Linked DNA regions of Canis lupus familiaris. The protein of the gene in region 1 interacts with the protein of each later gene in a pairwise test. Links are inferred from orthologs where the notes say so. Each region holds a gene or a part of one and is shown in the gene's direction. Other genes may lie near its edges. The genes, in order: LRP6, GSK3A and LRRK2.

Region 1 (4,390 bases):
TGGTGCATGGAGCCTGCTTCTCCCTCTGCCTGTGTCTCTGCCTCTCTCTCTCTCTCTGTGACTATCATAAATAAATAAAAAAATTAAAAAACAAAAAAAACAAAAAAAAAACAACAGTATATACGGGGTTGGGTACTATCCATGGCTTCAGGCATCCACTGGGGGTTTGGGAGGCATCCCCTTGCAGATAAGAGAAGACTGCTTGCTATATTAGTAACGTTGTGAGAGTTGCTCCACTGTCCCCGCCCATCTGCCTCCAGGTAAGGGCCTGTGACAGCTGGACAGAATGCACCTGATGGCTCCATTATAGTTAACTCGGGCTTGAGTTCCCTCCTAGGCTGAAGCTGCCACTTCTTTTCAAGGGAGCCTATGGGCTGTTACATCTGGTAGCCCAGTGCATCCAAAGCAGCAGAGGCCGTGCAAAACCAGTCTGAGATTCAGGTGAATCTTTTTCCCCCTCAAGCTGCGAGCTGATAAAAACAACAACAACAACAACAAAAAAAATTGCCAAACACTCATCTATAAATCGCAACTTGTTAAAACCCCCAACGCAGTCCTTACCAAGTGTCCCTTTGCTCTGTCTTAGGTGCTGACGCATTTATCTTGGGATTTTTATCTGCCAGTTTAGAAAATCGTTAGTCCTCGCCGGCCCTACTTCTGGGGACAGTCTGTAATTCTGCAAAGGCAGGAGGAAATGAAAAATCTCTGCTCGGAGTTGGCGTTTGACCACCCGTCACCATGTCACGTTTAAAGCTGGGGGAAGCAGCATTAGCCTTAATTTTTCGTAAAAGAAAAACGCTCAAGCCCGTTTCCAAGCGCGAGAAAGGAGCCAGCTCAGCGCCCCGCGTCGGGACTCGCGCGGCGCGCAGAGCCGGGCCTGCAGCTCCCACGCCCCCTCCCCCCCCCCCCCCGCCCCGCCCCGCCCCCCCCCCCCCCCCGCGACCCAGGTGTCAGCCCGCGGCGGCCCGGACCTCCACCTGGCTCGGCCGGCGGCGCCCGCACAAAGAGCGGAGCAGGCGGCGGCCCGGCCGAGCCGCAGAAAGTAGTCCCGACCACGCCGGGCCGAGGTTGTTCGACGTCGCTTCACGCCCTCCGCGGGGAGGGCCGCGGCGGCCGGCCCAGGAAAGAATCCCATAGGAATGCGCCGGCGGGAGGCCTCTGCCCCGGGGCTCGCCTCCGCTCGCCGCGCGGGCCTCCCGGGGTCTCCCAGCCGAGGCCGTGCGCGCGGCCCCCCACTTCCTTTCGCGGCGGCCCGGGAGGCGGCGCCGAGGGAGGGCCCCGCCCGCGCGCAGGGAGACCTTCGCGGCGACCCGTGGCGGCGGCGGCCCGCGGTATCCCTGCGCCGCTGCGTGAGAGGAAGAGGCTGAATGAGGCGCTGCGCGGGGGAAGCGGGGCGCCGGGGGAGGAGGCGGCGGGATGGAAGCAGACGCTGGCGTCGCGCGAGCCCCCGGCAGAGCGGCGCGGTAGAGAGGGCGGCGGCGGCGGCGGCGGCGGCGGCGGCGCGCGCGGAGCCCTGACGTGCCCCTTTCTTTCTTCTCTCTCTGGAAAGCTGGGAAGCATGAGCCTGCAGACCTGCCGCTGCGGCGGCCGCCCCGGCTCCTCGCCTCCCCCCCTTCTGGCCGCCCCTCGCCGGTGAGAGAAGAGAACGCGAGAAGGGAAGATGGGGGCCGTCCTGAGGAGCCTCCTGGCCTGCAGTTTCTGTGCGCTCCTGAGAGGTGGGAAGGGGGGTCGCCAAAGTTGGTGGGATTTGGGGGGGAGGTGGCCTTGTTTGGTGCGTGACTGGGGAGGGGGAGGGGGAGGGAGGGGGAGGGAGGGCGGAGAAGGGGAAGAGGAGCCCGGAGAGGCCTGGTCGTGGGGAAGGAGAGAGAAAGGGGCCCGGGAGCAGGGGCTGTGCGCTCCGCCGGGCCACAACGCGCACCCCTGCCCGGGGTTCCGGACCTTCCCCGGGCGAGCCCCGGCCCCGATCCGGCTGCGTGTCCGGGGGAACCCGTGCAGCCGCGTCCTGTCGCGGTGACTGAGGGTCTCTTTCTGCCCGGAGTCACCCGGGAGGAGGGTCTTTGTACGTGTTTTGGCTTTTAAAATGTTTGAGATGCTTTAAATGTCGGCCTCCTCTCCTGAAGCCCCCACCTTCTCCGTGTCTCTTAGGTGAACTTTTAGAGCCTCTTTACTATATATGTATATATATATAAATAAAAAAAGTATATATAAATATAAAATATATATATATATTTTCTTTTCTCCGGGCCTTGCTACTACTAATGATTGGCTTCCGTTGGGGGATATAATGATCCTGGGTGAGAGCGCAGTTGGAAAGTGACTCCGAGGTGGTGAGGTCGAGCTGAAACGCATTGGGATTCTTCTCAGCTTCGGCCCATAATAAAATAGAAACGTTGCCCTTATAACCCCTGGTCGTCAGGACTCGCCCCTATTTTCGGAGCATGCAAGTGTACAGTTGGCACTAAGTAGGAAAGTCATACTGGTGTGAAGAGGAGCCTGTCCTGGAACCGAAGTTATTATCATTTGCTGCGCTCCCCTGGGGACTGCTTGCACTTTGGTAAATAACAGGGGCTGTTTTATTCTAGATCATTTACTCGGAGGATCGCATCAATTAATTAGATGGCCCTGTGGTGTTTTTTTTTTTTTTGTTTTGTTTTTGTTTTTTTTTAATTGGCCTGTAAAGCTGTCACGTACACTGTGACTTTTATTTTGTGACAGTTCACTTAGGTTTTTGATTGGCCCTCAAGATTTCAGCAGCTCTTCTCAAACTTATCAGTGTTGAAGTGGTGAGGAGTCTGGTGCTATTGAGCATTTACTAGCAGAGGAATTTAAGCACGGATCGATGCAGTGGCTGTGGCTTTGATTTTTTTAAAATTCTCACTTATGTTAGTGGTAAATTCTTTCCAGGCAGAAGATCTCTTGAATCTGTGGAGATTTTTAGGTTTTAATTTAACAAGCTAAACTTTTGCTAAGCTTCCAAAACTTGTTAAAGTTGACGGGGCACAATAGTAACTCATGACCTTGCACAAATGAGCCCAGTATGCCATTTTTGTGTGTGTATTTTTATTTTGGATGAATGTGATTGACTTTTTTTGTTGTTGAGGAGGAGGAGGAGTTTTTTTCTTTAGTACTCTTCTGCAGGATTATTACGTTTGCATGTTATATCTACTTAATTATGACTCACTGTAAGCATATCCCAAACTATTTTCGCATGTGACCCCCAGAAAGACAGTGCTCACTTAATTTTCTTGGCAGAGAATTTAATGCATTGTTATCTCTTTGTGAGGTTTAATAAGTGTATGTTTATTTCATTATAGTATACTGTTGAAAGGGGATTTTGCTATAGCTGTGAGAAACATATTTTACATAAGAATATGTACTTTTTTTTTAAGGCAGTAAGTTAGTAGAATTAAATGAGAGTCCACTGATTGGTTAAAGTCTTGGGGAAATCTAAACCCATAACTTGGGATACTTCTGGTTGCCTGGTTTTATTTCTTGGAAGATGAGAGTGTGATGTAAATTCCATTTATTTTAACACCAAGTTTGAGCCTAGAGTTGGGTTTGTTCCTTCATGGTTTAGAGAAGTTGCACTTGAAGCATTAATTTTTAGTATGATGTTATGTAACAGACCTAAAAGAGTTAATAGTTTAAACTGCCTCATTTCTAATAGCAAAGTTTCCTCTCATTTTAAATGTAGCATACTCATGGTATCAGGTGGTCTTTGAATTGAACAGTACTTGACTATGGGTGCATATTATTTGAACTAAAATGGTCTTTTGATGTGAAAGATTATTATTCATATTTTAGATTCTTTTCATTCCTAGATAATGTCATTCTCTGTTATAAAAGTGGCATTAGTTAACCTTGGACTCTAAGGAGAACAATGTGATTAATTTGTTGCCTCAAGATAATTTTTTTTTTTTTTTTTTTTGGACAGAGGAGTTAACATTGAAAAGTTAACATTGGGATGATGGGATGATGAGAATTTGGGAGACCTTTTGTTAAATCATTATCTGAAGGCCAGGGAATAATGCTATTATCATCTGCATCCCTATCCTTACCATGGGAGGGCAAAGTGTAATGGAAAGATTTGGGGATTTTGACACTTAAATCTTGGGTTCAAAGTCTATGCTTCTCTACTTAATAACTTTTGTGATTCTGGGTCTAGTCAATTTCTCTGGGCCTCATTTTCTTGTAAAATGTAGGTAGTAGTACTGATCTGATTTGCATGTTTAACAGGCATTTTAAATGAAATGATGAGTATCAGTGATTTGCTAATGTTATTTTCGTTATTTTTTATTGTGGACATACCCTCAAATGCTAGGAATTTGAGATTTAACTTGTATAAGATGTATGGATTCTTACAGAAGAGATCTTGATCATTCTGGTCTAA
Region 2 (4,354 bases), on another chromosome or scaffold:
CGCACACACACACACACACACACACACACGCTCCCTCGCACGAACTTCATTTCCCAGGGTCCTTTGAAATTAGTCTTTCCGGTTATTAATCGATAAATAGGGCGACCTAGTCCGTGCACAAAACCCGAGGCTACTCTTAGCCGGCTTCCTTGTTTTGGGCCCTCCTGGATCCTGTAAACTTAGAAGGCGGGAGTACGCAAAAGGCTGAAAGGAGATGCAAAACGGAAATTTTTTCACCTGCTTTAATGCTCGTCTCAGCCTCTTGGTGAACCCGCGTCGGTAGAAAAAGCTAGAAGACTATTGTTCTGAGAGACCACCGGGAACTTTGTTCCCCAAATTGTTTGAGGGAGGGTTTTTCCTTCCTGATTTGTGGAAACTTGGAATTTGGAATGTTTGGGCTCCATTTTACCGCAGCCCCTGACCAACTTCAGCTTTTTCTTGGGGTCTGAGGAGGGTAAGGAGGCGTTGAACACTGCAATCTTCCCAGGGGATTGACGTCTTCCACATTTGGCTCACGCTTTCCCAAATGTACCGATTGGACTACACTTCCCAGCGAGCCTCTGCAGTCTCGTCTCAAAGGGTTAGGATCCGGTCTGGACTATTACCCAGCATTCTTCGGGCTCCTGGTAGATCCCTCCCCCTCAGTCAAATGAGTCTGCCTTGAACTCCATTTCCCAGAAGACACAAAGGCTCACTGTGGCAACTACTCCGAAGCGTTGGTGTCGACTACATTTCCCGGCAGGAACTGCGACCCACCATAAGAGGGCAGAGGAACGCCGTACCTACCTATTCTATTTCCTAGCCTATCTCCGTAATAGCAGTGTCCACTTGGGGCTTGGGGAGCACATGGGACTCCATTTCCCGGCGTACTTTGGCAGTCGCGGTACACCTGCAATGCGGTGAGGGCGTGGCGACGACTCCATTTCCCGGCTTGCTTCACGGCCTGATATCTGCGGATGCACCGGCGCCGACTCAATTTCCCACAGTGCACCTGGCGCTGACCGGCATACACAACCAATAGACTAAATGAGCGTCTGGACTCCGTTTCCCGGCGTGCATCAGGACTACAAAGCTCTCCGAAAAGAGTGGCTTCAACTGCATTTCTGAAGCACATCTAGCGCTCGCAGTTGCTGCAGTGGAGCGAGTGTGTGACTCTGACTCCACTTCTCAAAGTACTTGAGGGTCCGCCGTCTACACAGTCGGCCGACTTATTGCCTAGGACTCTATTTCCTGACGAGCAGCGCGACCCGTCATCCCCCGCGGTCAGCTCTGAAGCCTTTGCAGACTCCATTTCCCGGCGTGCCCCGCGGTTCTCTGTGCCGACCGAGGGCGGCGACGGCGGCGCGTAGGGCAGGCGGACTGCATCTCCCGGCGTGCCCCGCGGCGGGCGCTGGGCCGGAGCCGGAGCCCGAGCGGCGCGGCCTGGAAGAGGCCAGAGCCCGGGGGAGGCGGCGGCAGCGGCGGCGGCGGGGGCAGCCCGGGCAGCCCGAGCCCCGCGGCCTGGGCCTGCGCTCGGCGCCATGAGCGGCGGCGCGCCTTCAGGGGGCGGCCCTGGGGGCTCGGGCCGGGCGCGGACCAGCTCGTTCGCGGAGCCAGGCGGCGGAGGCGGCGGCGGCGGCGGCGGCCCCGGGGGCTCGGCCTCCGGCCCGGGCGGCAGCGGCGGTGGGAAGGCGTCAGTCGGAGCCATGGGTGGGGGCGTGGGGGCCTCGAGCTCCGGGGGCGGCCCCACCGGCAGCGGCGGAGGAGGCAGCGGCGGCCCGGGTGCGGGCACTAGCTTCCCGCCGCCGGGAGTGAAGCTGGGCCGTGAGTATTAGCAGCGTCCGTGGGGGGTGGAGATCTGGGTTCCTGAAGCCCTTCAGACGTCGATCAGGTTCTTCAGTATGCCCAGATAGGAGCTCCAGCTCAGTGTGCTTCCCAAAGATGGGATCTGAGGTCTCCCCCTCCCAGAGAAAGGGATTTGAGGGGTCACCATCAATTGGAGTTTAGGATTAGATTTAGTAATTCTCCACAAAACAGGGGTCACAGGTTCCTGTTCTTCCGATGCCTAGGGCTTGGATCCTTAAGCCTCAAAAACAGGAATCTGATGTTGCCATCCATTAGACAACAGGATCAGGAGTCATCACTTGCAAATGGGGCTAGAGAGTTATTGTTCCCAAAAAGAATGAGATTACCATCACCTCAGAAGAGGGGGGTCTGAATTTGCTCCCCTCTAGAGGATGGGGATTTGGAGTGAATATCACATGGAAATGGTTTAGGGGTCACTCTGGCCGGGAAGGATTGGGCCAGGGCTTCCCAAACCTGGTACCCAGGCAGTCTTTCCTTTTAAAACGCAAGATCAGTTACCATCACCCCATCTGTAACAGGTAAAACTGTATCCCCGGTGGTAGAAATTAATGATTGTTGCTTCTTAGAAATAAGGACAAACTAGGAATCATTGTATTCTGCAGACCAAGTCTGTAGTCAGTGTTCTTTTGAAAGCTTGGCTTGGGGCGCCTGGCTGGTTCAGTCGGTAGAGCATGCAACTCTGGATCTCAGGGTTGTGAGTTCGAGCTCTACATTGAGGGTAGAATTTGCTTAATAAAAAAAAAATAAAAAAAAACAACAAACCCAAAACACCAAGGAAAATGAAAAACTTATAGTGGTGGGTCTTCTTCCACAAAAATGAAACAGGGTCAGGGGAGGGTCATAGTTCCCCATAGGATATGGATCTGAGGTTAAACCCATGTTCTGAGGTGTGGTGTCACTGGCTGTGGAAGAACAGCTGTGTAGGATCATCTCTTTCCAAAAGGTGTCACTGCCCCCTCAAAATGGGTTTGATTCATCAGTGACTCCTTTTCTTTGGGGTCTGATGGTTCCCCAAAGTAAAGGGGCCACTTTTCTCTAAGAACGCCACAAAAGTTTGCTGCTGTTTGGAGAATGGAGCTAGGGGTTACAGCTTTCCTTTGGAGGACCGAGGCTTGGCTAGCCCCTGGTTAACGGAGGTCAGATTCGCCATTCTCAGAACTTAGTACTTGCCCACTGGGGACCCCTCCAAATACATGAAAGGGTCTAGGGCTCTGGGTCACACAGATGAGGAGGTCATGTCAGCACTTTTTCTAACCCCAAAGTATTTGGGACGGGCTAGCTCTCCCCAAAAAGTGAGAGTCCTGGCACTGGCACTTAAGTCTGAAGGAGTCCTTTCTGCCACCGAAAACCAGTGGCAGTTACCAGCTCTACCAATGAGGACTTAGAGGTCACTGTTCCCCAAGCTGTGACAAAAACTAGTGCTTGCTGAAAGTCAAAGTACCTTAGGGTTGCTGCTGTATTAAATGGAAGAGATTGGGTCAGGCTTTCCCCAGGCAGGAGGGGGCCCCAGCAGGCAGTAAGCTCTGAGTCGATGGAGTCAACATCTGCAAGTGTGAGGCTGCCCTCGAACCAAGAGGGACCAGTGATTTGCTGCTTATCAGGCATAGAAATTACAGCTTATCAACGCTTGAACAGCAAGAGGTTTAGATGTCAGTGTCCTCCCACAGAAGAAGAGGCAGGATTTAGCATTCCCTGGAGGGAAAAGGAGAAAGTACACCTGGAGGCATCTGACACCCATCTTTGCTCCAAGATGAGGGGATGAGGAGGCCCCTAGTAAGCACCTTGTAGTGATTCCCCTCCTTCCCACAGCCCTATGATTGGGTGGTGGCAAGGGGGATGGTCAGTGGATTGTGTGTCCCCTTTGTTCCCCAGGTGACAGCGGGAAGGTGACCACAGTGGTAGCCACTCTAGGCCAAGGCCCGGAGCGCTCCCAGGAGGTGGCTTACACAGACATCAAAGTGATTGGCAATGGCTCATTTGGGGTCGTGTACCAGGCACGGCTGGCTGAGACCAGGGAACTGGTGGCCATCAAGAAGGTTCTCCAGGACAAAAGGTTCAAGGTAGCAAGTGGGGACAAGGAGGTGTAACCAGGTGTGATAGGCGAGAGGGCTGGAATTGGCTTTCCACAGGGGACCTGAACATGGGCCAGAGTAGGGAAAGAGAAGGGAGTGAATTGTGTGGAAGATAGGCATGCGGGTTCCCAGAGAGCCCAGGATGGTGTTTACTGGCTTTTGGATTGGCGTGAAGTGCTTTGTAACAAGGGCAAGTTCTTATCTAACTCCCGTAAAGATCGTTTGAGGGTAGGTATCGGTGTCTTAAGACTGAGACTCGTAGAAGAGAGTTGACTTGAGGGCAAGACTAGACTCTGGCTTGCCTGATTCCGAAGCCTTCCACTTCACGCACAAAGCTACCCTTCTGCACAGAGCGGGCAGGAAGCTGGTGGAGGTGATGAGCGTGTTTGTGAAGGTCATGCCCTGACCCAGGTGCTTGGCCAAGTGCAGGGTGAAAT
Region 3 (2,300 bases), about 21 Mb from region 1:
AATTTAGCATGTTATTTTTAGCTGTACTTATGTATATGTTTGTAAAAGACAAATATAAATGAACAAAATTGAAATAAAATAAAAATGTCTTATGCCGAATCTTTGAAACATGGTTTCATTATTTTGTTTTGTAGAGATACAATCTTGTTTGTCTGTTTGGGACATCAATCTTCCACATGAAGTGCAAAATTTAGAAAAACATATTGAAGTGAGAAAAGAATTAGCTGAAAAAATGAGAAGAATATCGGTTGAATAAGAGAGATATTGAAGATCTTCATCTTTGGATGGGAAAATTATTCTATTGTAAATATTTCTTTAAAAATGTTTACATATGTAAAGGGTACTTCCACTCTTTGAAATAGCTTGTGTATATGAAGGAATGTTTATATATTTTATTTTAAATATAAATATGTGTAAAATAATTATCAGTGGAAAATATGTTTTAAAGAACTATTTAAAACATAACATTTTATTTCCTATGCATCCTAATTAATTTTTTGGATTAAGTAATGAAAGGAAATCTAAAAAATACATAATTGCAGGACTCATACTAAAATTTACAAAGTGATTAATTTTGTTGTTAAAGGAAGGTAAGCATTATTTAAAATTCTGCACTTAAACAAAAATGTTGTTTGATTACTTTCTACGTATTTTGCAAAGTAGAATAAACATATTAGGACTGTTTGATGTGTAATACATTCCTTCTTAGATTACTTTTAAATGCAACTATCATATATGCTTGTAAACAGTCAATGAATTATCACTAATAAAGCCCATCATTGGGATGTGCATTCTCTTTATTGCTGATTCAAACAATGCATCTATTGCAGCTTCCTTCAATCTAAAAGAAAATGTCATGAAAAGTGCTAATGAGAAAATGAAATATATGTTTCTCATATCCAGAAAAGACACAGTTACTTTCTCTTTTCCTGTTTTACAGTTCTATCTTTGAATGTGGATACCCTGAAATTTGTATAATTGGTGTAGATACAATGTTCAGTCTTGAAGTGATATTTTTAATGTTTAATTTGGATTTTCAGTGTTAAACTAGACAGCTGGTTACTTGTTCCTAATCTCTGCTCTGATGCTTCTACCTATGTTCTTCCTAAATTTATGACTCTGCAAATCCTGCATCACTCAGGAAAAAAACAAAAACAAAAACAAAAACATTTCCAGAATTACAGAATTCCACAACTCCCATCAAGACTATGCATGCAAGTTTGTAACACTTTAGTTTGATGAGGAAGAGAGGAGCTTCAGGCTATGATGGGTAAAAATACTTGCTAACCTAGTCTCCTGAGTTATACCTAAATTGTTTAAATATCTGGCCACAGTACGAATATCAGGGCCAAGTATCTACAGAACAAATTGAGTGTCATTTCTGTTTTAAGGAAAAACATTTCTAGTAAATCAATTGGCCCTGGCCAATATTCATGATTTCAAACAATTTCCTATGATAGGATAACTAGTCCATTTAATATTCTCAGAACTGACTGATGTTGTATTATAGGATGATTTTAAAAATAACGAAGGAATTTGTTCCTATGATATTTCTCACTTTCTTTGTATTTATTGCAATTTTTTACAAAGATAATTATGAAGAAATATGTAAATGAAAATCATATTTAAATGGAACAATAAACATTTTTAAAGCATGTTTAAGAATTTTAAAACTTTGTGATAGTTTTATTTTTCATATAAAGGTCTATAATCTGCTTAATATGAAATTTTATATGAATACATGTATGGGTATATAGAAAATGCTAACTAAAGTTTTCTCCTGAGGATTTATCCAGTTTTCTATAGTACACATAGTTTCCAGGATCCCAGGATAAAACCTGACAGGCCTGATATGTTTCATTTTTTAAGTTCTCATAAAAATTAAGTAGGATTGTTCAGTTTTGAGTGTTGAAAAAAGAATGACTTTAGAGCAATTAATTAAAAAATTGACAGTCATTTTAAGTTTTGCCTGGTTAAAACCCCCAAAGAAGCTACTAATCATTATAAAAGCATAAGAGTTTATCTTCATAGAAAATATTTTGAGAGGAATTTTAAATGTAAAAAGAGAGTCCCTCAAATATAATTTTGGCAAGCACTATGGATTATGTGTGAACTATTTTAAGTAAAATTCATCTTATTTTTCATCAAGATTGTGATATAAATTTATGAAACACAGCAAAAAGTAGTAAAAAAATTTTTTGAGAATTTTCCTAAATTGAAAATACCAAAAGTAGATATGTCTAAAACCCTTGGGACTTTGCATCTTTATGTAATCTATCACTATAGATAGCTTAACACCT

What was found.
Region 2: the proteins of LRP6 (region 1) and GSK3A interact in binary tests that used the Homo sapiens proteins (3 or more experiments, as listed by UniProt). The link is inferred for Canis lupus familiaris from reciprocal best matches to the Homo sapiens genes LRP6 and GSK3A.
Region 3: the proteins of LRP6 (region 1) and LRRK2 interact in binary tests that used the Homo sapiens proteins (3 or more experiments, as listed by UniProt). The link is inferred for Canis lupus familiaris from reciprocal best matches to the Homo sapiens genes LRP6 and LRRK2.

Annotation. Positions count from the first base shown.
Region 1 is NC_049248.1:12,171,096-12,175,485, reverse strand, and holds the start of LRP6 (low-density lipoprotein receptor-related protein 6), read left to right. Parts: upstream 1-1,474; 5' UTR 1,475-1,660; coding exon 1,661-1,715; intron 1,716-4,390. UniProt on the Homo sapiens protein: Component of the Wnt-Fzd-LRP5-LRP6 complex that triggers beta-catenin signaling through inducing aggregation of receptor-ligand complexes into ribosome-sized signalosomes.
Region 2 is NC_049222.1:112,856,934-112,861,287, forward strand, and holds the start of GSK3A (glycogen synthase kinase-3 alpha), read left to right. Parts: upstream 1-1,520; coding exon 1,521-1,803; intron 1,804-3,717; coding exon 3,718-3,905; intron 3,906-4,354. UniProt on the Homo sapiens protein: Constitutively active protein kinase that acts as a negative regulator in the hormonal control of glucose homeostasis, Wnt signaling and regulation of transcription factors and microtubules, by phosphorylating and inactivating glycogen synthase (GYS1 or GYS2), CTNNB1/beta-catenin, APC and AXIN1.
Region 3 is NC_049248.1:33,297,788-33,300,087, forward strand, and holds the end of LRRK2 (leucine-rich repeat serine/threonine-protein kinase 2), read left to right. Parts: intron 1-134; coding exon 135-256; 3' UTR 257-1,673; downstream 1,674-2,300. UniProt on the Homo sapiens protein: Serine/threonine-protein kinase which phosphorylates a broad range of proteins involved in multiple processes such as neuronal plasticity, innate immunity, autophagy, and vesicle trafficking.